Linked DNA regions of Saccharomyces cerevisiae S288C. The protein of the gene in region 2 purifies or fractionates together with the protein of the main gene of each other region. This does not show direct contact. Each region holds a gene or a part of one and is shown on either strand. Other genes may lie near its edges.

What was found.
Region 1: the proteins of RRP45 (region 2) and UTP20 purify together in Saccharomyces cerevisiae (affinity purification with mass spectrometry; 4 studies listed by BioGRID). This does not show direct contact.
Region 3: the proteins of RRP45 (region 2) and RPA49 purify together in Saccharomyces cerevisiae (affinity purification with mass spectrometry, with the first as the bait; 2 studies listed by BioGRID). This does not show direct contact.
Region 4: the proteins of RRP45 (region 2) and LRP1 purify together in Saccharomyces cerevisiae (affinity purification with mass spectrometry; 4 studies listed by BioGRID). This does not show direct contact.

Annotation. Positions count from the first base shown.
Region 1 is NC_001134.8:223,816-235,516, forward strand, and holds UTP20 (Utp20p), read left to right. Parts: upstream 1-3,820; coding exon 3,821-11,302; downstream 11,303-11,701. Other genes in the region: HTA2 (histone H2A), read right to left, coding at 11,579-11,701. UniProt on the Saccharomyces cerevisiae protein: Involved in nucleolar processing of pre-18S ribosomal RNA and ribosome assembly.
Region 2 is NC_001136.10:1,017,246-1,024,007, reverse strand, and holds RRP45 (exosome non-catalytic core subunit RRP45), read right to left. Parts: upstream 3,262-6,762; coding exon 2,344-3,261; downstream 1-2,343. Other genes in the region: MRX10 (Mrx10p), read left to right, coding at 1-497; PHM6 (Phm6p), read left to right, coding at 1,687-2,001; RNH202 (Rnh202p), read right to left, coding at 3,588-4,640. UniProt on the Saccharomyces cerevisiae protein: Non-catalytic component of the RNA exosome complex which has 3'->5' exoribonuclease activity and participates in a multitude of cellular RNA processing and degradation events.
Region 3 is NC_001146.8:180,151-186,628, reverse strand, and holds RPA49 (DNA-directed RNA polymerase I subunit RPA49), read left to right. Parts: upstream 1-4,020; coding exon 4,021-5,268; downstream 5,269-6,478. Other genes in the region: U2-type spliceosomal complex subunit CWC25, read left to right, coding at 1-283; VPS75 (Vps75p), read right to left, coding at 280-1,042, 1,138-1,169; CRS1 (cysteine--tRNA ligase), read right to left, coding at 1,451-3,754; MPA43 (Mpa43p), read left to right, coding at 5,607-6,478. UniProt on the Saccharomyces cerevisiae protein: DNA-dependent RNA polymerases catalyze the transcription of DNA into RNA using the four ribonucleoside triphosphates as substrates. Component of RNA polymerase I (Pol I) which synthesizes ribosomal RNA precursors.
Region 4 is NC_001140.6:264,316-271,038, reverse strand, and holds LRP1 (Lrp1p), read right to left. Parts: upstream 3,502-6,723; coding exon 2,947-3,501; downstream 1-2,946. Other genes in the region: putative serine/threonine protein kinase KSP1, read left to right, coding at 1-2,580; LAM4 (Lam4p), read left to right, coding at 4,201-6,723. UniProt on the Saccharomyces cerevisiae protein: Required for exosome-dependent processing of pre-rRNA and small nucleolar RNA (snRNA) precursors. Involved in processing of 35S pre-rRNA at the A0, A1 and A2 sites. Required for activity of RRP6 in 7S pre-rRNA processing.

The DNA.
Region 1 (11,701 bases), on a different chromosome or scaffold from region 2:
ATATCAGTACTTTGTTACCTTTCGGTCAACCTGTTATCGTCAATGATCACAACCCTAACTCCAAAATACATCCTCGTGGCATCCCAGGCTACGCTCTACATCCGTCTCGAAACTCTTATGGATATATCATCTATCTTCCATCCTTAAAGAAGACAGTAGATACAACTAACTATGTTATTCTTCAGGGCAAGGAATCCAGATTAGATCAATTCAATTACGACGCACTCACTTTCGATGAAGACTTAAACCGTTTAACTGCTTCATATCAATCGTTCATTGCGTCAAATGAGATCCAACAATCCAATGATCTTAACATAGAATCAGACCATGACTTTCAATCTGATATTGAACTATATCCTGAGCAACCGAGAAATGTCCTTTCAAAAGCTGTGAGTCCAACCGATTCCACACCCCCGTCAACTCATACTGAAGATTCGAAACGTGTTTCTAAAACCAATATTCGCGCACCCAGAGAAGTTGACCCCAACATATCTGAATCTAATATTCTTCCATCTAAGAAGAGATCTAGCACCCCCCAAATTTCCGATATCGAGAGTACCGATTCGGGTGGTATGCATAGATTAGATGTTCCTTTACTTGCTCCCATGTCCCAATCTAACACACATGAGTCGTCGTACGCCAGTAAATCTAAAGATTTCAGACACTCAGACTCGTACAGTGACAATGAGACTAATCATACAAACGTACCAATATCCAGTACGGGTGGTACCAATAATAAAACTGTTCCGCAGACAAGCGAACAGGAGACTGAGAAAAGGATTATACACCGTTCACCTTCGATCGATACTTCCTCATCAGAAAGTAATTCACTACACCACGTCGTTCCTATCAAAACGTCAGATACCTGTCCTAAGGAGAATACAGAGGAATCTATAATTGCTGATCTTCCACTTCCCGATCTGCCTCCAGAACCTCCTACCGAATTATCAGACTCCTTTAAGGAACTTCCACCGATCAATTCTCGTCAAACTAATTCCAGTTTGGGTGGTATTGGTGACTCTAATGCCTATACTACTATCAACAGTAAGAAAAGATCATTAGAAGATAATGAAACTGAAATTAAGGTATCACGAGACACATGGAATACTAAGAATATGCGTAGTTTAGAACCTCCGAGATCGAAGAAACGAATTCACCTGATTGCAGCTGTAAAAGCAGTAAAATCAATCAAACCAATACGAACAACCTTACGATACGATGAGGCAATCACCTATAATAAAGATATTAAAGAAAAAGAAAAATATATCGAGGCATACCACAAAGAAGTCAATCAACTGTTGAAGATGAAAACTTGGGACACTGACAAATATTATGACAGAAAAGAAATAGACCCTAAAAGAGTAATAAATTCAATGTTTATCTTCAACAGGAAACGTGACGGTACTCATAAAGCTAGATTTGTTGCAAGAGGTGATATTCAGCATCCTGACACTTACGACTCAGGCATGCAATCCAATACCGTACATCACTATGCATTAATGACATCCCTGTCACTTGCATTAGACAATAACTACCATATTACACAATTAGACATATCTTCGGCATATTTGTATGCAGACATCAAAGAAGAATTATACATAAGACCTCCACCACATTTAGGAATGAATGATAAGTTGATACGTTTGAAGAAATCACTTTATGGATTGAAACAAAGTGGAGCGAACTGGTACGAAACTATCAAATCATACCTGATAAAACAATGTGGTATGGAAGAAGTTCGTGGATGGTCATGCGTATTTAAAAACAGTCAAGTGACAATTTGTTTATTCGTAGATGATATGGTATTGTTTAGCAAAAATCTAAATTCAAACAAAAGAATTATAGACAAGCTTAAGATGCAATACGACACCAAGATTATAAATCTAGGCGAAAGTGATGAGGAAATTCAATATGACATTCTTGGCTTGGAAATCAAATACCAAAGAGGTAAATACATGAAATTGGGTATGGAAAACTCATTAACTGAAAAAATACCCAAACTAAACGTACCTTTGAACCCAAAAGGAAGGAAACTTAGCGCTCCAGGTCAACCAGGTCTATATATAGACCAGCAAGAACTAGAGCTAGAAGAAGATGATTACAAAATGAAGGTACATGAAATGCAAAAGCTGATAGGTCTAGCATCATATGTTGGATATAAATTTAGATTTGACCTATTATACTACATCAACACACTTGCACAACATATACTATTTCCGTCCAAGCAAGTGTTAGATATGACATATGAATTGATACAGTTCATATGGAATACGAGAGATAAGCAATTAATATGGCACAAAAGCAAACCTGTTAAGCCAACAAATAAATTAGTTGTTATAAGCGATGCCTCGTATGGTAACCAACCGTATTATAAATCACAAATTGGCAACATATATTTACTTAATGGAAAAGTAATTGGAGGAAAGTCCACCAAGGCTTCATTAACATGTACTTCAACCACGGAAGCAGAAATACACGCAATAAGTGAATCTGTCCCATTATTAAATAATCTAAGTTACCTGATACAAGAACTCGACAAGAAACCAATTACCAAAGGATTACTAACCGACAGTAAATCTACAATCAGTATAATTATATCCAATAATGAAGAGAAATTTAGAAACAGATTTTTTGGTACTAAAGCAATGAGACTGAGAGATGAAGTATCAGGAAATCATCTGCACGTATGCTATATCGAAACCAAAAAGAATATTGCAGACGTAATGACCAAACCTCTTCCGATAAAAACATTCAAACTATTAACAAACAAATGGATTCATTAGATCTATTACATTATGGGTGGTATGTTGGAATAAAAATCCACTATCGTCTATCAACTAATAGTTATATTATCAATATATTATCATATACGGTGTTAAGATGATGACATAAGTTATGAGAAGCTGTCATCGAAGTTAGAGGAAGCTGAAGTGCAAGGATTGATAATGTAATAGGATAATGAAACATATAAAACGGAATGAGGAATAATCGTAATATTAGTATGTAGAAATATAGATTCCATTTTGAGGATTCCTATATCCTTGAGGAGAACTTCTAGTATATTCTGTATACCTAATATTATAGCCTTTATCAACAATGGAATCCCAACAATTATCTCAACATTCCCCCATTTCTCAGGAATCCCAACAGTTATGACAAAATTTATCAGAATTCCCAGTTTCATACATGTTTGATATTTATAGATAATTCATAATGACGGTTTATTTATTCTGGTAAGTTATGATATCATGTAAAACGAGGCAACTTGGCCGAGTGGTTAAGGCGAAAGATTAGAAATCTTTTGGGCTTTGCCCGCGCAGGTTCGAGTCCTGCAGTTGTCGTTATTTTTTGGACAGTAATAAGAGTACGTAAAGTCAATGGAATACGTGGTAAAAGCATCACGTTTATGTTTTATTAAAAGATTGGCATAGAACTTGGCCTTCTTCGTAACGACTTATCACCCGTTAAAAGTATGCTATATGAGTTATATCGGCTGCAGTGTATTTCTTCCTGGCTCATTTAAAGCTAATGAAATGTACCTCTCGCTTCATTTTCTAAGGTAGTGTTTTGAAGGCGTATGTATGTAATGTCACCCGGACTTTTGTAAAGAAAAAATTTTGAGTTTATGTCTTTCCGAAAATTTTTACCGATGAGCATTGAAAAGTTGCATTATTAAATTTGGTAGCGTAAAAACCACCGATTAAACAGGTAGTGTAGGTTGTAAATTAAAGATCATATTCTTTCCTGTTTACATCCAGTTTTACGTTGTTGGCCGTATTGGTATATTTCTAGTATCAGTTACACATATTTCATTGAAAGTATGGCTAAACAAAGACAAACTACTAAATCGTCTAAGCGATATAGATATTCTTCCTTCAAGGCTAGGATTGACGATTTGAAGATTGAACCGGCTAGAAATTTGGAAAAAAGGGTACATGATTATGTCGAGTCGTCGCATTTTCTCGCTTCCTTTGATCAGTGGAAAGAAATTAATTTAAGTGCCAAATTTACGGAGTTTGCAGCGGAAATTGAGCATGATGTTCAAACATTACCCCAAATACTATATCATGATAAAAAGATTTTTAATTCTTTGGTTTCATTCATTAACTTTCACGATGAGTTTTCTTTGCAACCGCTTCTGGACCTCTTGGCTCAATTTTGTCATGATTTAGGTCCAGATTTTCTTAAATTTTATGAAGAAGCTATCAAAACTTTAATAAATCTGTTAGACGCTGCTATAGAATTTGAGTCATCTAATGTTTTTGAGTGGGGTTTCAACTGTTTGGCTTATATTTTCAAGTATCTCTCGAAATTTTTGGTTAAAAAACTGGTACTCACATGTGATCTTTTAATTCCACTATTGTCTCATTCTAAGGAATATCTTTCAAGATTTTCAGCAGAAGCATTATCTTTTTTAGTAAGAAAGTGTCCTGTTTCTAACTTGCGCGAGTTTGTTAGATCAGTTTTTGAAAAGTTAGAGGGAGATGATGAGCAAACTAACCTCTACGAAGGGCTTCTGATATTATTCACAGAATCCATGACGTCAACGCAAGAAACTCTGCATTCGAAAGCTAAAGCTATCATGAGCGTTCTTTTGCATGAAGCTTTGACCAAATCATCCCCGGAAAGATCTGTTTCATTGCTCTCAGATATTTGGATGAACATTAGTAAGTACGCCTCAATCGAAAGTTTACTTCCAGTCTATGAAGTTATGTATCAGGATTTTAACGATTCTCTCGATGCCACCAATATCGATAGAATATTAAAAGTATTGACAACAATTGTCTTCTCGGAAAGTGGTAGAAAAATTCCTGATTGGAATAAAATTACTATCCTAATTGAAAGAATAATGAGTCAAAGTGAAAATTGTGCTTCGCTTTCACAGGATAAAGTGGCTTTCCTATTTGCTTTATTTATTCGTAACAGTGACGTGAAAACTTTAACATTATTCCACCAAAAACTTTTTAACTACGCTTTAACAAATATATCTGACTGTTTCCTTGAATTCTTTCAATTTGCTTTAAGGCTAAGCTATGAAAGAGTATTTTCATTCAATGGATTAAAATTCCTACAGTTATTTTTAAAGAAAAATTGGCAATCACAAGGAAAAAAAATTGCACTTTTTTTTCTAGAAGTAGATGATAAGCCTGAACTGCAGAAAGTACGGGAAGTAAATTTCCCAGAAGAATTTATTTTATCTATCAGAGATTTTTTTGTCACAGCAGAAATTAATGATTCGAATGACCTTTTCGAAATATATTGGCGAGCTATAATTTTTAAATATTCGAAATTACAGAATACAGAAATTATTATCCCATTGCTTGAACGTATCTTTTCAACTTTTGCATCACCAGATAATTTTACGAAAGATATGGTCGGTACACTCTTAAAAATATATCGTAAAGAAGACGACGCTTCAGGGAATAATCTATTAAAGACTATTCTGGATAATTACGAAAACTATAAAGAAAGTTTAAACTTTTTAAGAGGATGGAACAAGTTAGTGAGTAATCTTCATCCTTCAGAAAGCTTAAAAGGACTAATGTCACACTATCCAAGTCTACTCCTTAGCTTGACAGATAATTTTATGTTGCCTGATGGGAAGATTCGTTATGAAACTTTAGAATTAATGAAGACATTAATGATTTTGCAGGGTATGCAAGTACCTGACCTCCTTTCTTCATGTATGGTTATCGAGGAAATACCTCTTACACTACAAAATGCCAGAGATTTAACCATTAGAATCAAGAATGTTGGTGCCGAATTCGGAAAAACCAAAACAGACAAGCTAGTATCCTCTTTCTTTCTCAAATACTTATTTGGCCTTCTTACCGTTAGATTCTCTCCAGTTTGGACTGGTGTTTTTGACACTCTTCCTAATGTTTACACAAAAGATGAAGCCCTCGTTTGGAAACTTGTGCTATCATTCATTAAACTTCCTGATGAAAATCAAAATTTGGATTACTACCAGCCTCTTCTTGAAGATGGTGCAAACAAAGTTCTGTGGGATTCGAGTGTAGTGAGGTTAAGGGACACTATTGATACGTTCTCACATATTTGGTCAAAGTATTCTACTCAAAATACGAGCATTATATCTACTACTATTGAAAGAAGGGGGAACACCACCTACCCAATTTTAATTAGAAATCAGGCTCTAAAAGTTATGCTATCGATTCCTCAAGTTGCTGAAAATCACTTCGTCGACATCGCACCTTTTGTTTATAATGACTTCAAGACTTACAAAGATGAAGAGGATATGGAAAATGAACGTGTTATTACTGGTTCATGGACAGAAGTTGATAGAAACGTGTTTTTAAAGACTTTAAGCAAGTTCAAAAATATAAAGAATGTTTATAGTGCAACAGAATTGCACGATCATCTGATGGTACTGTTGGGTAGCCGTAATACAGACGTTCAGAAGCTTGCGTTGGACGCACTTCTTGCATACAAAAATCCAACGTTGAATAAATATAGAGATAATTTGAAAAATCTACTAGATGACACCTTATTCAAGGACGAGATTACGACTTTTTTAACCGAAAATGGGTCGCAGTCTATCAAGGCTGAGGACGAAAAGGTAGTCATGCCTTATGTCCTTAGAATTTTCTTCGGTCGAGCACAAGTCCCCCCAACTAGTGGACAGAAAAGAAGCCGCAAAATAGCTGTCATTTCAGTTTTGCCAAATTTTAAGAAGCCATATATTAATGATTTTTTGAGTTTGGCTAGTGAAAGGCTGGATTATAATTATTTTTTTGGGAACAGCCATCAAATAAATAGCTCAAAGGCTACCTTGAAAACTATCAGACGGATGACTGGTTTCGTTAACATTGTAAATTCTACTCTGTCTGTATTAAGAACAAATTTTCCTTTGCATACTAATTCAGTGCTGCAGCCGTTGATCTATTCAATTGCTATGGCATACTATGTCTTAGATACTGAGAGCACAGAGGAGGTACATTTAAGAAAGATGGCAAGTAATTTAAGGCAACAAGGTCTAAAATGTTTAAGTAGTGTCTTTGAATTTGTTGGAAATACATTTGATTGGTCTACTTCTATGGAAGATATTTACGCCGTTGTAGTTAAGCCTCGTATTTCACATTTTTCGGATGAAAACTTACAACAACCCTCCTCTTTACTAAGACTTTTCCTTTATTGGGCACACAATCCATCTCTGTACCAGTTTTTGTATTACGATGAATTTGCAACTGCCACTGCATTGATGGACACCATATCAAACCAACACGTTAAGGAAGCTGTTATTGGCCCAATAATTGAAGCGGCGGACTCAATTATTAGAAATCCAGTAAATGATGATCACTACGTAGATTTGGTGACTCTCATCTGCACATCATGTCTGAAAATACTTCCTTCGCTATATGTCAAACTTTCTGACTCAAACTCGATTTCCACATTTTTGAATTTGCTAGTTAGTATCACTGAGATGGGATTTATTCAAGATGATCATGTTAGAAGTCGTTTAATTAGTTCATTAATATCAATATTAAAAGGAAAGCTAAAAAAACTGCAGGAAAATGATACCCAAAAAATTTTGAAAATATTAAAGCTGATAGTTTTCAACTACAATTGTTCTTGGAGTGATATTGAAGAACTATACACTACCATATCTTCTTTGTTCAAAACATTTGACGAGCGAAACCTCAGGGTTTCCTTGACAGAGCTCTTCATAGAACTCGGTAGAAAAGTTCCTGAATTAGAAAGTATTTCGAAATTGGTTGCGGACTTGAATTCATACTCCTCATCACGTATGCATGAATATGATTTTCCTAGAATTTTATCAACTTTCAAGGGGTTAATTGAAGATGGTTATAAGTCCTACAGTGAGTTAGAGTGGTTACCTCTGTTGTTCACCTTTTTACATTTTATCAATAATAAGGAAGAACTTGCGTTAAGAACAAACGCATCCCACGCTATAATGAAGTTTATTGACTTCATTAACGAAAAGCCTAATCTTAATGAAGCTTCAAAATCGATTTCTATGCTGAAGGATATACTTTTACCCAATATAAGGATTGGCCTCAGAGACTCCCTAGAAGAGGTACAAAGTGAGTATGTATCAGTGCTATCATATATGGTAAAAAACACGAAATATTTCACCGACTTCGAAGATATGGCCATTTTACTGTACAATGGTGATGAAGAAGCAGATTTTTTTACAAACGTTAATCATATTCAGCTTCATCGTCGTCAGAGAGCCATTAAAAGACTAGGTGAACATGCTCATCAACTCAAAGATAACAGTATATCCCATTATTTAATTCCAATGATCGAACATTATGTCTTTTCGGATGATGAAAGATACAGAAATATTGGAAATGAGACCCAAATAGCCATCGGAGGGTTGGCGCAGCACATGAGTTGGAATCAATACAAAGCTCTTCTTAGAAGGTACATTTCTATGTTGAAAACCAAGCCTAACCAAATGAAGCAAGCCGTACAATTAATTGTTCAACTTTCTGTTCCACTTAGAGAAACTCTTCGTATCGTAAGAGATGGGGCTGAGTCGAAACTTACTTTGAGCAAATTTCCTTCCAACTTAGATGAACCCAGTAATTTTATTAAGCAAGAATTGTATCCGACTCTTTCGAAAATTCTTGGCACTAGAGATGACGAAACTATAATTGAAAGAATGCCTATTGCGGAGGCATTAGTTAATATTGTTTTAGGGCTCACAAATGATGATATTACTAATTTCCTCCCTAGTATTCTAACAAATATTTGCCAAGTTTTGAGAAGTAAATCCGAAGAATTAAGAGATGCAGTAAGAGTAACCTTGGGTAAAATCAGTATTATCTTGGGCGCTGAGTATCTTGTCTTTGTGATAAAGGAATTAATGGCTACATTAAAACGTGGTTCTCAAATTCATGTGTTAAGTTACACTGTCCACTACATATTAAAGAGTATGCACGGAGTCTTAAAACACTCCGATTTGGATACCTCGTCCAGTATGATTGTTAAGATTATAATGGAAAATATCTTTGGGTTCGCTGGTGAAGAAAAAGACTCTGAGAATTATCATACAAAAGTGAAAGAAATTAAGAGTAATAAAAGCTATGATGCTGGTGAAATTCTCGCCTCAAACATCAGCCTGACAGAATTTGGAACATTACTCTCTCCTGTGAAGGCTTTGTTGATGGTCAGAATTAATCTAAGAAATCAAAACAAACTGAGTGAATTATTGAGACGATATTTGTTGGGTTTAAATCATAATAGTGACTCTGAGTCAGAAAGTATCCTCAAGTTCTGCCATCAGCTTTTCCAGGAATCAGAAATGAGTAATTCCCCTCAAATACCAAAGAAAAAAGTGAAAGACCAAGTAGATGAAAAAGAAGACTTTTTCTTGGTAAATTTGGAGTCGAAATCTTATACCATCAACTCAAACAGTTTGCTTTTGAACAGCACTTTACAAAAATTTGCTTTAGACTTACTTAGGAACGTAATAACGAGACACCGCTCCTTTTTAACTGTCTCGCACCTAGAGGGTTTTATTCCATTTTTGAGAGATTCGTTACTTTCGGAAAATGAAGGTGTGGTAATTAGTACTTTACGTATCCTGATTACATTAATTAGGCTAGATTTTTCCGATGAATCTAGTGAAATCTTCAAAAACTGTGCGAGGAAGGTACTAAATATTATCAAGGTTTCTCCTTCAACTTCAAGCGAATTATGCCAAATGGGTTTAAAGTTTCTTTCTGCCTTTATACGTCACACAGATTCAACATTAAAGGATACTGCTTTGAGTTATGTTCTAGGGAGGGTCTTACCAGATTTAAATGAACCAAGCAGACAAGGCCTTGCTTTTAATTTCCTAAAAGCACTTGTTTCAAAACATATCATGCTTCCAGAACTCTATGACATTGCGGATACTACTAGGGAAATCATGGTCACAAACCACTCAAAAGAAATTAGGGATGTATCCAGGAGCGTTTACTACCAATTTTTAATGGAATATGACCAAAGTAAGGGTCGTTTAGAAAAGCAGTTCAAATTTATGGTCGACAATTTACAGTATCCTACCGAGTCCGGCCGTCAGTCCGTAATGGAATTGATCAATTTGATTATTACAAAGGCTAATCCTGCTTTACTATCCAAATTATCATCTTCCTTCTTTCTGGCGCTAGTTAATGTTTCTTTTAATGATGATGCGCCAAGATGCCGTGAGATGGCTTCAGTATTGATTTCCACCATGCTTCCAAAGCTTGAAAATAAGGACCTTGAAATTGTTGAAAAATATATAGCCGCTTGGCTAAAACAGGTTGATAATGCATCCTTTTTAAATCTTGGGTTGAGAACTTATAAGGTCTACTTGAAAAGTATTGGGTTTGAACATACTATTGAGCTAGACGAGCTTGCCATCAAGCGTATAAGGTACATTTTGAGCGATACGTCGGTAGGATCAGAACATCAGTGGGATTTGGTATACTCAGCTTTAAATACGTTCTCATCTTATATGGAAGCAACAGAGAGCGTTTATAAACATGGTTTCAAAGACATATGGGATGGTATTATCACATGTCTCTTGTATCCGCACTCATGGGTCCGTCAATCGGCGGCAAATCTTGTTCATCAACTCATAGCCAATAAGGATAAGCTGGAGATATCATTAACCAATCTGGAAATTCAAACCATTGCAACAAGAATTCTTCACCAATTAGGTGCGCCTTCTATTCCGGAGAATCTTGCGAACGTCTCAATAAAAACATTAGTTAATATCAGTATCCTATGGAAGGAGCAACGCACGCCGTTCATAATGGATGTATCAAAACAAACTGGAGAGGATCTAAAATATACTACCGCCATTGATTATATGGTAACTCGAATTGGTGGTATTATCAGGTCGGATGAACATCGTATGGATTCTTTTATGTCGAAGAAGGCGTGTATTCAGTTATTGGCCTTATTAGTTCAAGTTCTGGACGAAGACGAAGTAATTGCAGAAGGGGAAAAGATATTATTGCCGCTATATGGTTATTTAGAAACATATTACTCAAGAGCAGTTGATGAAGAACAGGAAGAACTACGCACTCTTTCAAACGAATGTTTAAAAATACTGGAAGACAAATTGCAAGTATCCGATTTTACAAAAATATACACTGCTGTCAAACAGACCGTATTAGAAAGAAGAAAGGAAAGGAGATCTAAAAGGGCAATTCTGGCTGTTAACGCTCCACAAATTTCTGCTGATAAAAAGTTGAGAAAGCATGCGAGATCGAGGGAAAAGAGAAAGCATGAAAAGGATGAAAATGGGTATTATCAAAGACGTAACAAAAGAAAGAGAGCCTAGCTGTAATATATCTTTATAACATGTATACTAATGAATAAAAAATCCAAGTTATAACGTCAAAGCTGTAGTACGTTAGCATTTCCGTAAGTAAAACCGTAAACTTGATACGTTTTTTATTTTCTTTATTAATAGTAATACTATACACTGTCTTTAATAAAACGACGCTATTTATAAAACTGTTAGATAAAAGACATACCAGTCTTCCTCATATGACCTACTTTAAAACCCCAAATGACAAGAATGTTTGATTTGCTTTGTTTCTTTTCAACTCAGTTCTTACAGTTCTTGAGAAGCTTTGGCAGTCTTGGCAGACTTCTTTGGCAACAAGTTTTGGTGAATGTTTGGCAAAACACCACCTTGGGCGATGGTAACATTACCCAATAGCTTGTTCAATTCATC
Region 2 (6,762 bases):
CGGCATTCTCAAGTGGGCTATCGAGAAGCACCAACTTGGCAGTCCTAGAAGAAGCAATGGAAAAACATATATCAAAGACCAGAACAATAACAGAAAATATTTCTAAGGGAACAAAGTTAAATCTAAGGTCAAGTGATGCATTAAAGTCAATAGGCCGCCTTTTTCTAATTAGAGGAAAGTTGAACCTCTATTCAGAACTAATTGAGACCCCTGATCTTTATTGGAGTGAACCTCAATTGGAAGAGATTTTTAAAAATGTTTCGAGGTATTTGGACATAGGCCCAAGAATAAATATTCTGAACAGCAAGCTGGACTATTCTACGGACGAGTGTCGAGCCCTCATCTCTCTTTTAAACGAGAGAAACAGCACTTTTTTGGAATGGATAATTATATACCTGATTGCTTTCGAACTGTGCTTTGAAATTTATCATTTCTACCAGAAATATTCTTCCTACTGCTCAGAACCCACGAATGATGATCTAGATGCTACAAAGTAAGAGATTTTTTTGTAAATAAGAGTTACTTTTGTATGTTGTATTACGGGCTCGAGTAATACCGGAGTGTCTTGACAATCCTGATATAAACAGTCTTAGGGAAGTAACCAGTTGTCAAAACGGTTTATCAGATTAATTCACGGAATGTTACTTATCTTATGTATTATATAAAATATGAATCATACTAAGTGGTGGAAGCGCGGAATCTCGGATCTAAACTGATTGTTCAAGCATTTATACGTTTGGGTAGTTCAGCTAGGGAAGGCCGTGTTTTATCTCATGTTGTTCGTTTTGTTATAAGGTTGTTTCATATGTGTTTTATGAACGTTTAGGATGACGTATTGTCATACTGACATATCTCATTTTGAGATACAACATTGTATATACACAGAACAATGAGAAAAAGTTCCACTCAGTAATTAATATTCTTTTACCCAACGTTTCCTTATAACGTTGTTATTGAAAAAGGGATATTATATGAATCCACGCACCTGATCTGGCTCTTAGAAGCGACTAAATAACTACATATGTAAGAGATCTGCTCCTGCCACAAGAGAAAGCGTTTTTTAGCGATAAAATCAAGATTTCTCATTTCCTAATTGCTTATGACGGACGACCTTCATTATTAGAACGTGCAAATGTGCATTAGCGTGTAATGATACATACGCAAATTACAATAAAAAATAAACATGTAAATAAATGAGCCCACTTAAAATAATATGACATATATTAGTTTGCACTGTCATGAAAACCCTGATAACGTGGTGTCATTTTTATTACACCCGTATATTCATCAGCCCGTCCTAACCTATCCGAACGACGCAGGATGGCCACTAACATCGCAAATAGTGTTATTACTTTTTCCATTTGGATGTTCTGCCCTATAATGTTACGCAGTTCCGAGCTTCGCTGACACGTGGGAGGTGGGATATAATATTTGCACGGGTTCTTTTTTGTGTCGTCTGGCGGAAAAAAATAGACTCGTCTCTTGTATGGCGCGCTAGTAATTTATTATTTGCGATGCGCAGAACCTTATCTTTTGTTTTCTATTCAGTATAAAACTTGAACGATTTCACCAGATGTTTGTACACTTTGATTCATTGCAGCCCAAATAGAATTTTTGTCAACTGCCATACCAAACTTGTTGAACTAAAAAAAAACGACAGCAATTGTTTTTCAACCTGACACCAAGATGGAAGATACCTCGAGGTGCATCGATGATGTACTGAAAATAGGACAACAGGAGAAGGAAATAAGACAGGCAGAGTTTTCTGACGCACAAGGGGAGAGAGAGGAGGTTAAGTGTATTGATTACACAGTAGATTTGGAAGCAGGTCTTCCGCGCCACGAGAGTAGTGGAAAAAGTAATACCCTCAAACAGTGTTATAACGCCGTTCTAGGGTTTCTCGAGGAACTCATCATCGTCATTATTATTGTGTTGCTGTTGTACAGTTTGACAATGGTAGGTCTTTTTTATGTGATGACGATGACGAAGTTTTTGTTTTAATAATAAGAATAATGGGATTTGTTTTCTTTCAAGATTTTTCTTTTGGATAGTACATGCCTTCAGAAATTAAGCAGGGAGGCAAAAGATAATATTTTCTCATATGCATTTATAGCCGAGCCTTTTTTCTTCGCAGTATGCGTTTGTTTTATAGTAATTTAATGATTTTTATGTTTTTGAACACCGCAGTCAAGAAAACAGTAGGAAAAAAACTGCGGGCGTCTTTCATACTGCCTTTAGTAGTAAGTGTAATTTTACAATCTATACGTACCGATATATATACATATATTAATGCATGCATGTATATGTATAAGCGTTGCTTTTATTTCAGTTTTTTCGTTAATATTAGATCTCGCGGGCATTTTCAGATGTAAGCATGGCTGCATACTTGTTTCTCTTTTCTGAATCCTCCTTTAAAAGCTGCAGTATTTGATCAGTTATTTTCTCAATAATGCTGTAAGCCTCGTGACAACATTTCATTAGCGTCAACGCATCCATTGGTAAACCACCCGCTTTGGAAACTTGTACCACTTCACGGTTTTTGTTTAGCGTAACCGTCAATACACCATCTCGCAGTAGTTCCTCTTTCAATGTTGCATCAATGATGGAAATTTCTGAGTTAGTCTCACCTTTTATGTTTTCCTCGGTGTCTTGAGGATTGAAGAAAGAAAAAGTTACACATATTGGAATATGCAGTATACCTAGTGGAACTGGCTCTCTTTCATTAACAGGATGAACAATGATCTGCTCGCCATGGACAGTTATATCTGGTTTCTTAAAATGCATCAATCCTGCCATGACGGCAATACACGAAGCGTCAATAAATCCACCATCACAATCCAGGAAATGTACATCAGCTCTCACAGCCCAGCATTTACTGCCAGCAACGATACATAGTCCTTCCACGTCCAATGCGCCCGACCGCCTAACAGATTTTTCAATTATTCTTGAACATAAAACTTCATCTTCCCCCGTGATATTTCCATTTTCAAATTGAGAACCAGCCATAGGAGATATTTCTGTAGATATTACAAATAATCCTTCAAATGGCCTGTCTTCGTATGGTTGTGCTATTTGACAACTAATCCTGCAGTGAACTTTGGTGTTGCCCATTTTTACGCTAACATCACCAAATTCTTTACCAAACGTTATTTCCACGTCACGAAATTGATCAAAGGAGCGGCCGTCCAACCTATAATTCTGTCTCAGTGCTTCTAAGATAAATTTTGACTCGGATGCGGATATCTCAATGTCTTTGGCCATTTGTCTTTTAATCTAATGTATATTCTGAACAATTTTGCAATCACTACGTCCTGTTGATTAATGTATCGAGACTGAAAGTTAGGAAGTTAGAAAAAAAACTTGAAAGTTGGTAAGGTAAATACAATCTAGCAACCGTTTCCTATTCCTTTATATTCAGACATTTGTTAACATCATCGAGGGAAAAGTTGTTAATTTTTTCTTGAATTCGAGAAAGGAAAAAAAAGGTAGCCCATTCGTTGGTAGTGACAATATTGTGTAATTATCTCGCACTGAGGTCATCACCACCGAGTTATAGCATTCAAATTGCTGTTTAATTATGATACTAGCTACTTACGTTTAAAAAATCCATCAATGGCCCCTTTTCCTATGGCTACTTTTGGTTTTTTATTTTGAACTATTTTTTTGGTAACTTTTTTCACTGGCAATGAAACCCTGCCATTCGAATTTAGGCCTACATTCATGGCACTTTTCATCAGTAATTCTCTTTCAGCATTCTGTAATTCGTTCGTAGTCTCGTAGTTTTCGAGTTCTATGAAGCTAGCTTTTATATCCGGATTTAGGCAACCACTATCCATTGTAGGTGAAAAGGTAAGTAAATTATGGTAGGCCGCCCTTGGAATCAGGGAAACTAAAAGATTTGTAGCCATAACTACCTTGTAGCACTGTTTTATTTCCGTTGGGGCATTTTTAAGTGTAGGGATACTTGGAGGAAAGTTTTCTACAATTTTTGATACCTTGCCTAACAAAAATTGTGTTATCATTGCAGATGTGATCTTGTAATAGACGTCACCAGCTTCCTCAATGGTTTCACTAACTTTTGCTAAGCCACTCTTGAGACGACTTAAAGAAATGTTTTCCCAATTCTTGTCATGGTTATCCGTTAAGAAATCATGGTAATCACGCACCGTAAGAAATTTCTCATTGGTTTTGCTGTTGCTTTTTTGGTTTTCACCAGTATCACTTGAATTGGAGTAATCTTGTTCATCTGCTGAAACACTGTTTCTATAGTAAAATCCAATCAAACTAAAAGCAATATCGTATAAAGAACAAAAGTGTATTTTGCTTGAGTTAAAAACATAACCATCGGTGGGATCAGACGTATTTACAATGAAAGTTGATTTGATCGGGTGATTTTCCTTAGTATAGTGATATTTATCATTTGCCAAATCTTCCTCATGTGAATACGAGGGCCCTTTGCCGAATTGAAAAGATCTTATTTCGTAAAGTTTTCCATTAATATTTTCGAAGAGCTCGATACGAGGTTTGGATGTAATATTGGAAGGTGGCGGCAGTGTAAAAGTGTTTATAGTTTTCGAAGTTTCATAATCGTCTGGTAAAATTATTAGTCGTTCTTCCCCCCCAATGTTGGAAACGGTCATGCTTTTTGTTCGAGAGGCCAGAAAAGAAAGTCAACTATTGCGACAGAATAAGATTAAATTTGTACTCGATTTGTTTCTGCTGTTGTACCAGAATCATTAACCAGATCTGACTTTAATTCTCATCGCGCTCGTGCTTTTGACAAACTTGTGAGAATGGAGTCTGTAGTGCCTTAAAAGGAAAAAAACGCGTTGTGGTTATGAATATGAGATTTCATAATCCAACTATGGCATCGACAACATTGAAAAGATAATGAGCTGGAAGTTGCTCCATTTTTTACCTTTTGAAATTTCTTCTTATATGTATATGCTCACTTTACTGACTAGTAAAATGTCGTGAAAATTTTTAGAGTTCCATTTTGGCTCAAGACAATGGCGCTACGAAGAAACGCCATACTTAAATTCCCCTCATGAACTTAGAAATTCACGAAAGAAGCTGAATCTTTACAGAATAAATTTGTAGAAGAATTTTTCTGTTCTTTTATGCTTTATTCGTTGCTGCTGTTGATAATCAGCGATAGCTGAATTTATTGAATAGAGAGGCCGGGAAACTTCGTGCTACTGTAGAACTGAGATATAGAATACATCACAACTGGATGTATTAGACAAGTTTAATTTACTAGGAAAAAAAAGCTCAGAAACTTACAATTCTAATTAATGACTAGAATTTCATATATGAATCCTAATTCAACGTGAAATTGGTGGACTTTTCAACTTGTCACACTCAAGTAGCTCATTGTTTCTTTCTCTGCTCTTAAAAATGACAATGCCACGCAAACATACGTGTGTTAAATAATGATATCAGCGCCAGATGTCACTGAATGTCAATACTTTAGTTATATCTGCAACGGTATGAGAAATAGGCGAATTTTAAGAGAACTGTTCGTATTCTATCGTTGCTAAAGGCTACAGTATCTGGTATACAAGATATATTAGAAGTTTTTCTCGAGAATTTAAGAATCCACAAAACCAAATTTGTTGGAGCGAATCGTAATTAACAGTGTTGATAGTTAGTAGTTAGGTTGTAGTATTGATTAAGAATAAAAGCAGATATTCTTATTCTAAAAGAAAGAGATATAAAATACACTCCGACTGGACATATTAAACCTTGCCGATATAGCAATGATGAGAGTAATTCTTATGGTTAATGTCACGAGATGAATTGTTATATTGCAAGCATCAGATTAATCATTCAGGTAATAGATCATTGAGTTTACTGTACCCAGATTATTATGTAGCTACGTATCATTCTCCAGTCTGAAACATTAAAGACGCATTGCACATCTGATTACTTCATTTGATTACTAATCGACTATTCATGAAGAATAATAAGTCAATATTCTCACGAATAGTAACTTGAGTTACTATAGTAACAATTTAAGTGTCTCTACTGTATATTAATGCAAACCCTACATACTTTTAAGTCCCTGTTGGACAGGGAAATGTTAAACGAGGAACTCAAACAGTATAATAGCTGAGTTAAAGATCCATTAATTGGAAATACTGCTATAGTCGAATGTACGAATAATAGTAGTCGCCAATTTAAATGTATAGTAACTGCTAGACCCACTATTATGTTCATGTTTAATAAGAACAACTGGCCTGTATTTTCTATATTCCTCTTATATAGCATGAGGAGATTTGCTTTTATTCCAAACTAATACTACATCCTGACCACTGATTATTAATAACACCAGTTTTCATATTACTAATACATTATCATACATGATGCAAAAATACTTTATAAACGGCGAAAAACATTTATCAAATTTAACAGAATCTGAAAATGCAGAGACTGATAATTAATAAAATAAAAACGGTGATTTTTTAAATGAAAGAGGGAATAATGATATCATTATGTGGAATGATCTGCTCCTTTTTGTATTTCCAACAATTTCAGTAAAGTCGTATCTTTCCTACCTAATAATATTGCCATAACAAATAATTTAGCCCCTAAATAGTCATAAGAGAACTCATTGAGAGTCAAAGAAAATCATATTCCCTAACAGAACCTTGATTTGCGACCGAATAATTGGCTTTCTTCATTACATAATGAACGTTTCTTTTAGGTCAAACTATCACCAAGGTACAATCCGATGTAGTGTAACGGCTATCACATCACGTT
Region 3 (6,478 bases), on a different chromosome or scaffold from region 2:
TGACGAAAAGGAAGACTATTTATTAGGTAAGAAAAAACTAGATTCATCTATACTAAACCAACCTGCAACACCGCCTGTAAGGGCGGCCACTACTATTTCCGCTTCTGGTGCCGCAACATCCATAAGTTCGCAGAAGAAGAAGTCAAAATTGCTTAAAGATGATCCAATGAGTAAGTTTAAGGTAACTAAACAACAAAGAAGAACTCCAGACTCAACAAAAAAAAGAGCAATGTCGCAACGAGGGAAACCGTTGTCCAAGCCCGCTCCGGACCTAGACTACTAAACTTTCCTTTTCTTAGAGCTTGGTTCCTCGTCGGATAGTGGCAAGTCCACCTCACCGAGACTGCCATCGTCATCCTCGCTGTCGCCATCTGCGCTTAACCCGGATTCTCCTTCTTCGTCTTCCAAGTCCCTCTGGGCCTCAGCATAGTACTTCACACAAAAAGGGTAGATCTCTTCACTGAACAATGACGCCAATGAGTCGCCGTGCGGGAACTCCTTCCCGGGTTTTAGGCCGGTCCATCTGAACCAGCCAAATATGGTTTTCATTCCCTGTCTGTACTTTTTTTTACCCTCTGGACTGCGTTTGTCTTTGATCAAGTCCGGGTTTATCGAGTCGTAACTCTGGGGCCACTCAATTGGAACGGGCTCACTAGTCAGTATCCCGTCTTCTTGGTCATCTTTGCCTTTTTTGATTTGGAACACCTTGGTGACTTGCTGCTCTTTGAAGTCTCCCTCAATTCCATGGAAATGGAATGTTATACTAAAATCTCTAGTGTCGTACATTTCAGACTCCAATGCCAGCCATTCTACTTTGATCTTATCTATAGTGTCAATGTATTTAAAATCTGAAGCCCTTATGTAATTCGCAAAACTAACGTGTTGTGAAAGCACAATTTTCCAGAACTCTGCAATTTCGTCAATATACGCGTCCCTCTTTTCATAAACAGGCTTCATTTTGTTCAATCTGTATAATTCTACCTCACGTTCAATAGCGTCCACTTCTTCTTCGCATTTAGCCAATCCTAAGAATGCTTTTGCACTGACCATCTACCGCACTTGCTAAGTGCATATTGTTAGTATAATGGGTTGCTTTATTTTTCCATTTCATGCCCTGCAGAGCTCAATCCTACATACTGCTCGTTCTCGTTTTCTTGGTCACTCATCATTGGCAGTGTTATGCTTCGAAATGTTTGTCGTCAACATCAAGCGCCTAATCATTAGGATGCTTTTCTTCCCTTTTCTCACAAGCGCAGTGTTTGATTTTTTCAATTTTTTCCGCCTGGAATTTTTTCACATTCCAAAATGAAAAGTACATATATAATACAATTAATTATATTAGTTTTTTCTTTCCTCCTTTCCTTTTTCACTATTTTAACGTAAAAAAAGATGGTATATACATATATACGTACTTTTGAATAGTTGCACACATAACGAAGCCACGAGTATTCTATTTGTCTTCACCAAAGTACTCTTCATGTAGCTTCTTTTGTTGTTCCCATTGCTTCTTCAACTTCTTGGTCATACTCTTGGTGATATCATTACCGTCTTTGTCCTTTGTTGGAAGGCCTTGCTCGTCCCAAGCACTGTACAATGTGACATCCTTGAACATATCTTGTGGTTTAATTTGAGCTTTCTGCTTCCTCTCGTTTTCCTTCTGCTCTCTTAATTTCTGCTGTTCCAATTTCTTTTGTTTCTTTGCTAGTTCGTTGGCATGTTTCTCCTCGTTTAGCTTGACAATTTCCAATTTTTCATCGTTAGTCAAAAATTTGATCAAGGCAGATTGTCCATTCCTATCATCCAAGGCAACATTCAAGTTTAGCAAATCTTCGTTTCTAATTTTATCCGTTAATTGCAAGAATTCCTTGGGTTCGGCTTTCTTGATAGCTAAGGAACGTACATCATCTCTAAATGTGGATAAACACTTAACATATGGCATAACAGTGTCTTCCAATGAGCCTAGGGATCCATCGTTGGAGCCAGCTTGGGCTGCCCAACCCAAATTGTCAGGACGGGATGGAAATCCAATTATTCTTAAGATTTTGGTGATGTAGCTACAGATAGCAATCAAGGGCTCAATTTTTAAAGCAGCACCTGCAGTGGTAATGTATGTGTTTGACTTGGTCACTAATTCGCTCAGTGTCTTCAAAGCAACAGGTGTGGATAAATTATCACAGAACGCCGAATGGACTTTCGATTCACTTTCAACAAAATCAGCCAATAATTCTTTCTCTAAGGGACTAAACTTTTTAGAGATATGACCTGCAGAAGCTGCATCGTTCTTCAATGCTCTAATAGTCTTAAAAAAATTGTTCATGGAGTTTTCAAATGACTTTACTTCATGGATCAAAGATTCCTTGAAATCCAATTGATTGTTCCATTGTACTGAGGCAAAAGCCAATCTTAATTGGCGCGGTGAGAATTTTTTCAAAGCTTCTTGAATGGTAATGAAATTCTTTAAGGATTTAGACATTTTTTGACCCTCAATATGTAAATGGCCCGTATGTAAGAAATAGTTGATCCACTGTTGATTGTCGAAGCGAGCCTCGGATTGAGCCAATTCGTTATCATGGTGAGGAAAGGCCAAATCGATGCCACCTGAATGAATATCGATGTTAGAGCCTAGGATATCACTGGCCATCACAGAACATTCAATATGCCATCCTGGTCTACCCTTACCCCATGGTGATTCCCACTCAGGTTCACCTGCCTTGGAAGCCTTCCATAAAGCAAAATCATTATTCGACTTTTTTCCGTTATCAGCAAAGTTGCTTAAGGACCCTTCACCATCATTAATTAAGTCTAACTGGCCCTTATTCCATGGCTGGCATTTAGCATAGTCATGATTTGGGGATTTGTCAAATTTTAAAGTATCAAAGTACACGGAACCGTCGGAAGTGGCATATGCGTAACCATTATCAATAATTTTTTGAACAAAGTCAATAATTTCTGGAACGTACTCAGAAACACGAGTTGTAACGGTGGGAGGTAGCACGTTTAATGATAACATGTCATCATTGAATTTCTGTTCCCAGTAAGCTGGAAGTTGGCGGAAAATCTCTGGATTGCTAATGGTAGAGCCCAATTCTTTATCCAATAGAGGAACCGTAACGTCCTTGACTTTTTCAAAGGCAACTTCTGCGTCCATGGAATCGCCCTTAGTGATTGATTCAATAGCATTTTGAACTGCGGTGACATGCATAGGGAATTTAGGATTCTCCAATTTTAAAGTTTCAGTATCAGCATTCGATAACCAAGTTTCAAATTCTTCGATAGTTTTGATCTCGCTGCCTTGAATAGTAAAATTTTTGTTGATATATTGGAAAAGTGCGGTTTTGACCTTGTCAACAACAGTGGCGTTGAATTTGGTATCATTTTCTTTGACAAAATTGTCAAATAAATAGTTTTGTCTAGCTCTCAAAATAATTTTATCGTCGATATCAGTAACATTTTGCACAAATTGCACGTCGTAACCAAAATAATCTTGAATAATTCTTCTATTGATATCAATAGAGACATAGTTTCTGGCATGACCCATATGGGAGGCATCGTAAACAGTAGGACCGCAAGAGTACCAAGTGACACCTCTATTGCCAGATTGCGGAATGAATTCAACCTTAGATCTTGTTAAACTGTTGTACAACTTCAACACAGTTTCTTTAGCTTGTGGCGTTGGAACCTTCCATTTGGGCTGCACAATCTTCGGCGTAGACATTATAGTATATCTTCTCAGGGCTTTTATGAAGATATTCATGCATAGAATAAGAACTTGACCGGACACCTAATCACCGACGCCAATTAGCAATACTGTTCTTTTCAATTGATAATGTCTTTTGACTCTTCGCGATGAAAAATGTTTGCGGTCACCCGCGCTGAAAATTTTTTATTGCGATGAGCTGAAATTTTCCATCTCATTTTTAATAGTAAGTATTCTTGCATGAACACTAATGATATTAGGAGGGCTTTTTAAGTTGCTACCACTATTGCAGTCGTTATCAACCTTTTGCACTTTATCTAGTAATGTCCGTGAAAAGGTCTGTTTCTGAAATCGAAATTGAAAGTGTTCAAGATCAACCCTCTGTTGCCGTGGGAAGTTTCTTCAAGGGCTTCCGTGCTCCCAGTGACACTACGTTCGACTTATACAAAAAAAAGAAGTCTGAAAAGGACGAATTCGTATTACACGGTGAAAACGAGAGACTAGAATACGAAGGTTATACTGATTCTTCTTCCCAAGCTTCGAACCAGTATGTTGTGGGCCTATTTAATCCAGAAAAGAAAAGTATTCAACTCTACAAGGCTCCCGTACTTGTTTCCAAAGTTGTATCCAAGTCAAGCAAGAATCTAAGGGGTCCAAAAATAAAAAGTAAGAGTGATACTCGTCCATCTGCTTTGAGAAATGCGTTGGGTGAAGCGTTTGGTACTAAAAAGGCTAAAAAAGCTATTGCAGATCTAGAAAGAAACCGTATTGACTCTGATAAGTTGACTGATTCTGCTATTGACATTGTGGATTCCGTGAGAACTGCATCTAAGGATTTACCAACTCGGGCTCAATTGGATGAAATTACTTCCAACGATAGACCTACTCCATTAGCCAATATCGATGCCACTGATGTAGAACAAATTTACCCAATTGAAAGTATAATACCAAAGAAGGAATTACAGTTTATTCGCGTTTCATCAATTCTGAAAGAAGCGGATAAGGAAAAGAAGTTGGAATTGTTCCCATACCAAAACAATTCCAAGTATGTGGCAAAGAAATTGGACTCTTTGACACAACCTTCACAAATGACCAAATTACAGCTACTATACTACTTATCACTATTACTGGGCGTATACGAAAATAGACGCGTGAATAACAAGACGAAGTTGTTAGAAAGGTTGAACAGTCCTCCTGAAATCTTGGTAGATGGTATCTTAAGCAGATTTACCGTGATAAAGCCTGGACAGTTTGGAAGATCAAAGGATCGCTCCTATTTCATTGACCCACAAAATGAAGATAAAATCTTATGCTACATCTTGGCAATCATAATGCATTTGGATAACTTCATTGTTGAAATCACACCCTTAGCACACGAATTGAACTTGAAACCTTCCAAAGTTGTCAGTTTGTTCAGGGTACTTGGTGCTATTGTCAAAGGTGCCACAGTGGCTCAAGCTGAGGCTTTTGGCATTCCAAAAAGTACTGCAGCTTCTTATAAAATTGCCACTATGAAAGTTCCATTTAAGCTACCTGAAATGACAAGAAGAGGAAGAGGTCCAAGACGTTAGAGTTACCTAGAGGTATATACTGAGCATTTGGTTTGCTCTGGTTTTTTTTTTTGCTAGATGGTTCTATAAAGCAGCAAAATATAAGACGGTCCTCCTGATGAGAGGAAGAGAAAAACAAAAATAACTACATAGATATACGCTATTTTTTCTGAGAAGATACATATGTACAAATAGATATTTTACAATAATTTTAAACTTCGCAATAAATTCAATATTAATTCATAGCGTAGTTCGGCTTTCTAGCACCTTAGTAAGCTGAAATTTAAAAATGTATCAGTTTATTTTTTTCAATAAAGGTAACTTTAAATGAGAAACCAACGTGTTATATAGGTGAAATCATGAATAGCAGTCTGCAAGTTGGCATCGGAATTGATGTAGGTTCATCAAGTGCTAGAATAGGTGTATATAATTACTACAATGATGCGCTGTTAGAAATGGCGCAGGAACCAGTCCCATACTACCAGGATTCTTCAAAGAAGTCATGGAAATTCTGGCAAAAATCAACTGAAATAATTAAAGCCCTTCAAAAGTGTCTTCAGAAACTGAACATTAGAGAATATGAGGTAAAGTCATGTGGTGTTTCTGCAACGTGTTCATTAGCTATTTTCGAAAGGGATCGCACAAGTAACATGCTGATACCGTATCCAAATGAAGATAATGTCATATTTTGGATGGACTCTTCTGCCGTAAACGAATGTCAATGGCTAAATATGCAATGTCCACAACAGCTTTTGGATTATTTGGGAGGAAAATTTGTACCCGAAATGGGCGTCCCCAAATTGAAGTACTTTTTAGATGAATACTCTCATTTACGAGACAAACATTTTCATATCTTTGATCTTCATCAATACATTGCTTATGAACTGAGCCGCTTGTATGAATGGAACATTGAAGGACTTTTGGGAAGAGAAAATCTTAATGGTATAGGCAATGATGGAGAGGTATCTGGCTGGTCATCTTCATTTTACAAAAACATTATAAATTTACCATCTAATGTAAGCATTGGAACCACTAGTCTTGTTGCCAATAAGCACATTTCGACAACTGTAGTTCGCAGTTGTATTGACAGTTATGCAAGTTGGTTCGCAGTTGCTTCTCCTCATTTGGAAACATCATTGTTTATGATAGCCGGGACTTCTAGCTGCTACATGTATGGTACTACCATCTCTGATACTAGAATTCCTGGAGTATGGGGACCTTTTGATACTAT
Region 4 (6,723 bases), on a different chromosome or scaffold from region 2:
GCGATCAAAGCCGATGCTGTGCCTAAGAAAACCAAATCGATCACTCATATTATCACACAAATCATGGATGCAATTGAATATGTTCATAACAAGGGCATTTATCATCGTGATATAAAACCTGAGAACATTTTAATTTCTGGAATTGATTGGACAATTAAGCTTACAGATTGGGGATTGGCTACTACAGATAAGACGTCTATGGATAGAAATGTCGGTAGTGAAAGATATATGTCCCCTGAACTTTTTGATAGTAATTTGGATATCAAGGAAAGAAAGGAACCTTATGACTGTGCCAAAGTGGATTTATGGGCTATGGGAATTGTGTTTCTTAATATTGTTTTCCATAAGAATCCTTTTAGTATTGCCAATCAATCCGACAAGTCATTCTGTTATTTTGCTGCTAATAGAGAAGCGTTGTTTGATGTATTTTCGACAATGGCTTATGATTTCTTTCAAGTATTAAGGTATAGTTTAACCATCGATCCGGCTAATAGAGACTTGAAAATGATGAGAACTGAACTACAGAACTTATCTGAGTATACATTAGACGATGAATACTATAATAACTTGGATGAAGGATATGAAGAAACTATGATTGACGGTTTGCCACCTCAGCCTGTTCCTCCATCTTCAGCACCGGTATCATTACCTACTCCTATTTCATCTAGTAACAAACAACATATGCCTGAATTTAAAAAGGATTTCAATTTCAATAATGTGAATGAAAGGAAACGGTCAGATGTCTCTCAAAATCAAAATGTTGCAAGCGGCTTCTTTAAAAAACCGTCTACACAACAACAGAAATTTTTCAACCAGGGTTATAATACAACACTATCTACTCATGAAAGGGCTAAATCTGCTCCTAAGTTCAAATTTAAGAAGCGCAATAAGTACGGAAGAACTGATAATCAATTTTCCAAACCAGTCAATATCGAAGATAGAAAGAAAAGTAAAATTTTGAAAAAATCAAGGAAGCCTCTTGGCATACCAACGCCTAATACACACATGAATAATTTTTTCCACGATTACAAAGCAAGGGATGAATTCAACACCAGAGATTTTTTCACTCCTCCAAGTGTCCAGCACAGGTATATGGAGGGGTTTTCCAACAACAACAATAAACAGTACAGACAGAATCGTAATTACAACAATAATAACAACAACAGCAATAACAATCATGGAAGTAATTATAATAATTTTAACAATGGTAATAGCTATATAAAGGGTTGGAACAAAAACTTTAACAAATACAGAAGACCAAGTTCCTCCAGTTATACCGGTAAGTCACCACTTTCAAGGTACAACATGAGCTATAATCATAACAACAATAGTTCTATAAATGGTTATGCAAGGCGTGGTTCTACGACTACAGTTCAACATTCACCAGGCGCTTATATTCCACCAAATGCCAGGAACCATCACGTAAGCCCAACGAATCAGTTTTTAAGAGTTCCGCAATCAACTGCTCCTGATATCTCTACCGTTTTAGGTGGGAAGCCTTCATACCAGGAACACTACACTCAGGATAGTATGGATTCTGAGGGCGATCACGATTCAGACGACGTTTTATTCACTCTTGAAGAAGGTGATCATGATTTCGTCAATGGTATGGACAACTTATCTATAAATGATCACTTACCGCATACAACGGTAGGTAGCCATAATGAAGTATTTGTTCACGCAAGCACTAATCACAATAACAATGGCAACAACAACCATATCGACACCAATAGTACCACTAATCAATATCATAGACAATATATTCCACCTCCTTTGACAACATCATTGCATATCAACAATAACAATAATGAATCTAATGAACTACCAGATTTACTAAAATCACCAGCATCATCTGAAGCACATTTAAATTTATCTTCTGGACCAATTGATCCAATTTTAACAGGTAATATTGGCAATCGATATTCACACTCATCTGACTCTAAGGAGCTAGAGCAGGAGCGTAGACTCAGTATGGAACAAAAATTTAAAAATGGGGTTTATGTTCCACCTCATCATAGGAAGAGTTTCAACTTGGGAACACAGGTACCTCCTATGAATATGAAGACAAGTAACGAGGCCACGTTGTCAGTTTCGCATAATTCTGTTAATTTTGGTGGATCTTACAATTCCAGGCGTTCCAGTGCTAATGAATCTAACCCACTGCATATGAATAAAGCACTCGAGAAGTTGTCCTCTTCACCAGGAGCTAAAAGCTCCTTCGTTGGCTTCCCTAAACCTTTATTACCTCGTAATCATTCAAGCACTACGATTGCGTTGCAAAATGAAGACGTATTCGCAGACTCTAACAATGACGCCATAATTTTCGAAGACGAAGAATACGAAGGAGAAAGTGACAAGATGGCACATGGCAAAATGGAAGGTGGTGACAACGAATCCTCGTCAACCTCCCCGGATGAAAGGCAAATTTTCGGTCCTTATGAAATTTATGCTCAAACTTTCGCTGGCTCCACTCACGATAAAAAATTAGGAGCTGGCAGGAAGACAAGTATTCAGGATGAAATGGTCGGATCGTTAGAACAATACAAGAATAATTGGTTAATTTTACAGCAACAAGACTAAGCGCACCTATTCCCTCTGTTATGTTGCTTATTATTTTCTTCCCTTCTGAAATGCATTTTTAGCTTTTTTCATCAATTTGGCATCATCGTGCATTTCAACTTCTAAGTATGAATGCTTTTTGGTAGTTAAGCTTGAAGGGTTTTATGAAAACTCTCTTTTCTTAGATATTTCTACAGTCTTATATAACGTCAATTCACACAAAAGTGTTCACTGCCAACTACAAGAATAGCATATACACATATTAGTTACTTCAACGAGTTCTTATTGTTATTATAAAAGTATATAAACCCTATAAGCATTTTTGCATTTGTGCTCTCACATCACCTTTAATCATTTTTTCACTCATGTACCAGTATACGTCGACCTCTACTTCTTCCCTCCTTTCTTTTTTCCAACTTTATCCAATCTTTTACTTTTCTTACTACTTGCTTTCCTTATATGATCGGTACTGTCAATAATCTTAGTCGTTGTACTCTCTGCCAGTTCATCGTTTTCAAATTTCGTATGCTTCCCTTGAAAGTTGCTCCTGCTTATAGAGGGCTCGAATTGGTTTTTATTACCGTCCAAAACATTGGAAATGATATTCTTAGCTTTTTCTTGCTCTGCCTGCGATTTTTCGTTGGATTTGGTTATCCTATTATCGTATTGTTTAGCCTTATCCATGTATGATTTTACTCTTTTCAGTTCGCCGAGTATAGGAGACATATCTTTGACGCCTAGGACTTTCATATTAGCAAACATCAGAGAACTCAATACATACGCGTAACGATTAATTAGTTCTAATTTAGCCCTCTCATCAGATAATAGCAACAGCTGTTCATCCAGTGACTTCGACGTTAGTTTCTCTATTTCTGGTTTCAGCTCGTCTAACGCCTTTGAAAAACTCCTAACGTATGGTTTTATCTTTTCGATATCTTCCATTACTGATCTAATACTCCGTTACGTTGCTAGATATATGTTTATATTAATCGATTTCTACTGTAGGCTGTTAACCAGTTTTTTCTTCCACAGACTACAGAAGGCACAGTCCATAACCATCTGCCTTAGCTCATCGCTGAAAAACTGCACGAGAATTCGTGAAACGTGACATGTTGGGTACCCGCATGAATAGAAAATATGCTAGTAACGACTCTTCTTTACATTCCCATTGCTGGTGTATGTACGCTGATATGAAAATGCTTGCCCAATAAATACCAAGGTTATGACGTTGCCGCTTTGTATTGTCTTCTAATCTAAAAATCTTTCCACGCCAGTAGTGGCTGGCTTTATGCGGCAAAGATCGCTGTTTCTCCTTTTAGAAGTAAATTTCCACGGAGTATGACGGCCGGACGGACCGGCGTAGTTCATTCTAGTCTTAGGGGTCCTTTACCTTGGCAAAAGCATTTCTAAGTGAAACCCTTGCAGGAGTAGAATTGGGCGCAAAGGTCCCTCGTTGGGATCTGTCCTCCTGGGGGACGGTAGGTGGTTGAATGATTCTGCCTTCTTGAAATACGAAATATCAATCTGTTTCTGCTGGCTCACGGTATCTACTGTAATTTCGTTGCTATTGCCATTGATATTAAATTATTGCTACTGTGTGTGGTTCTTACTCTCCATGGATAGTGTTGAAAATATACAGTAATGACTAGAGATTCAAAAAAGAAGCACCATTGGGGCACTGCCTTTTTAAGGACAATTGGAGTCAAACGTAAGCACAAGAAGGATCGTAATTTTTTAAATAATACTACAGGAGAGAATGTTAGCACAACAGCCAGTGCTGAGCGATTCAGAAGAGTAGGAGGAAATCCGGATATTCCGTCTTTACTTAAGCCCGAAACTTTCACGGAATCTCCTGCAAAAGGATCTCAAAAGGCGGCGGCATCTTCCTTAGCGCATAGCCAAGGTGTATTCAATATTCCAATCGTTATAGATCCCATGGAAACAAACAGGCTTGAAAAGACAAACACGAATTTGACGGCAGGTTCATTGAAGGGTCGCTTTCAGGATGGTAACTCGAATTCAAATTCTGTACCAAGTTTATCCGTCCAGGCATTAGAAAAGGAAAAACTGCAAAGTGGGAAACGAGAAGGGTCCAGCAATCAAGCTGAGGAAAAAACTCCAGACGGCCATGATGAACATACCGCCTTTGAAACGTTTCTTTCCTTCGCCCATAATGCCGTAAGCCACATTCCCAAAATAAACGTACAAGACGCTGACAATGGAACAATTTCCAGGAATGAACCAAAGGACAGGAAAAAAAACTCATCTAATATATCAGGAGCCCTTTCCGAAAATAGCACTAACAATAAAAACACTTCATCGACAAAAGAAAGCGATGGCCCATTTTTGAAAAATTTAGACAATATTCTTGCAGCATCCAAATCATCAACTCCAAGTAACCAACAGCTTAATACAACGGAAGCAGGAAGTAAAAGTAAACCATCATCATTATCTAGATTGGCATTTGGAAATTTGAAAGGCCATATTCACTCGAACTCACATTCAAGCTCTAATGCTATCTCAGGAGATGATACATCATTAGATGACACTAGAAAGATGACGGATGATATGGCCAGGAAAGTGGTTTTCGAACCCATCAGGCACTCTCATGATAAGCCTACCCCCGGAGTTGGAAACTTAAAATTAGAGCACTTCGATGATTCTCAAGCTACTCTTGAAGGGTTAGAGGCAATGTCAGCAGAATCGCTGCCAGAGGCGGATCACCTTGACAGCAGAGGCCCGGTACAACAAAGTAATTTGGAAAGAAAAACTGTTCCTTCCAAATGGTCAGTAGTCAGTTCCTCTACAACAGATGGAGTCAAGCCTAGAAGAAGAGCCAAATCAATGATTAGCGCAATGGCAGATAAACAAAACACCAGTAGCGACGTTTTACAAGATTGTAAAAAAAGATTGTCCTTCAACTCCTCTAATGGCCTAACGAATAACGACCCGGAGTATGAAGACCGCGAACCTAGGGAAATGTCCAAGAAGTTTCTTAACAGGAGGTCATTTTCCCCCGGAAGCATTAGCATGGGAATGAAAGTACTACCTTCGACGGCACTGAAATATTCGCTAAACAAAGTAAAAAACAGCACTGATATTGCATCGACCATCATACCGAGACCTAGTATGTCCAACGGTCGTCCATCTTCGGGATTGAGGAGAAGTTCTAGTAAAAGCTTTTCATCTACCCCCGTAAATATCATTGAGCCATCGGAGGAAAATGGTAGACAATCCAGCATTAGAATAAAGGGAGTCGAATACGCGAGCGAAAAGAAAGATGCAGAATTCCATGCAATATTCAAGGACTCTGGTGTCAGCCCCAATGAAAGGTTGATTTTAGACCATAGTTGTGCTTTGTCAAGAGATATCCTTTTGCAAGGCAGAATGTATATTTCTGATCAACATATTGGATTTTATTCGAACATCCTTGGTTGGGTAAGTACCGTTTTTATACCGTTCAAGACAATCGTTCAAATAGAGAAAAGGGCCACAGCAGGAATATTCCCTAATGGGATCGTTATAGACACTTTACACACAAAATACACGTTTGCCTCTTTCACTTCAAGAGATGCTACATATGATTTAATTACTGAAGTATGGAATCAAATAATTTTGGGAAAGAGGTTTCGTAGCAACAGTAATAACACTAATAGCAGCTCCAATTCTATCAGTGATGATGAAAATGACGATTACGATGATGATTACGATGATTATGGAGATGATGATGACGATCTTTACGATAATAGCAATAACATATCTGATTCTACCGACATGACATCAAGCGTCAGCATAGGAAAGCCGGAAGATTTACCCATGCCTCTACAAACAGACACCCCTTATGGAACAGGAATTCCACCACTAGGTCCAAAAATTCACTCACCCACAGAAACAGTATACAAACCAGCGCCCAATGAAAAATTAGTTAACGAATCAACAATACACGCTTCGTTAGGGCGGGTTGTCAATATATTATTCGGGAAAGATGTCAGTTATATTATGGCCATTTTAAAAGCGCAAAAGAATAGTGATATTTCGCCAATCCCTGTTCTCGTTGATTCACCCACGGTTTCTGAAGGTAAAAAGAGAGATTATTCCTACGTAAAAACAACACCAGGTGCCATTGGACCCGGTAAAACTAAATGCATGATAACTGAAACCATT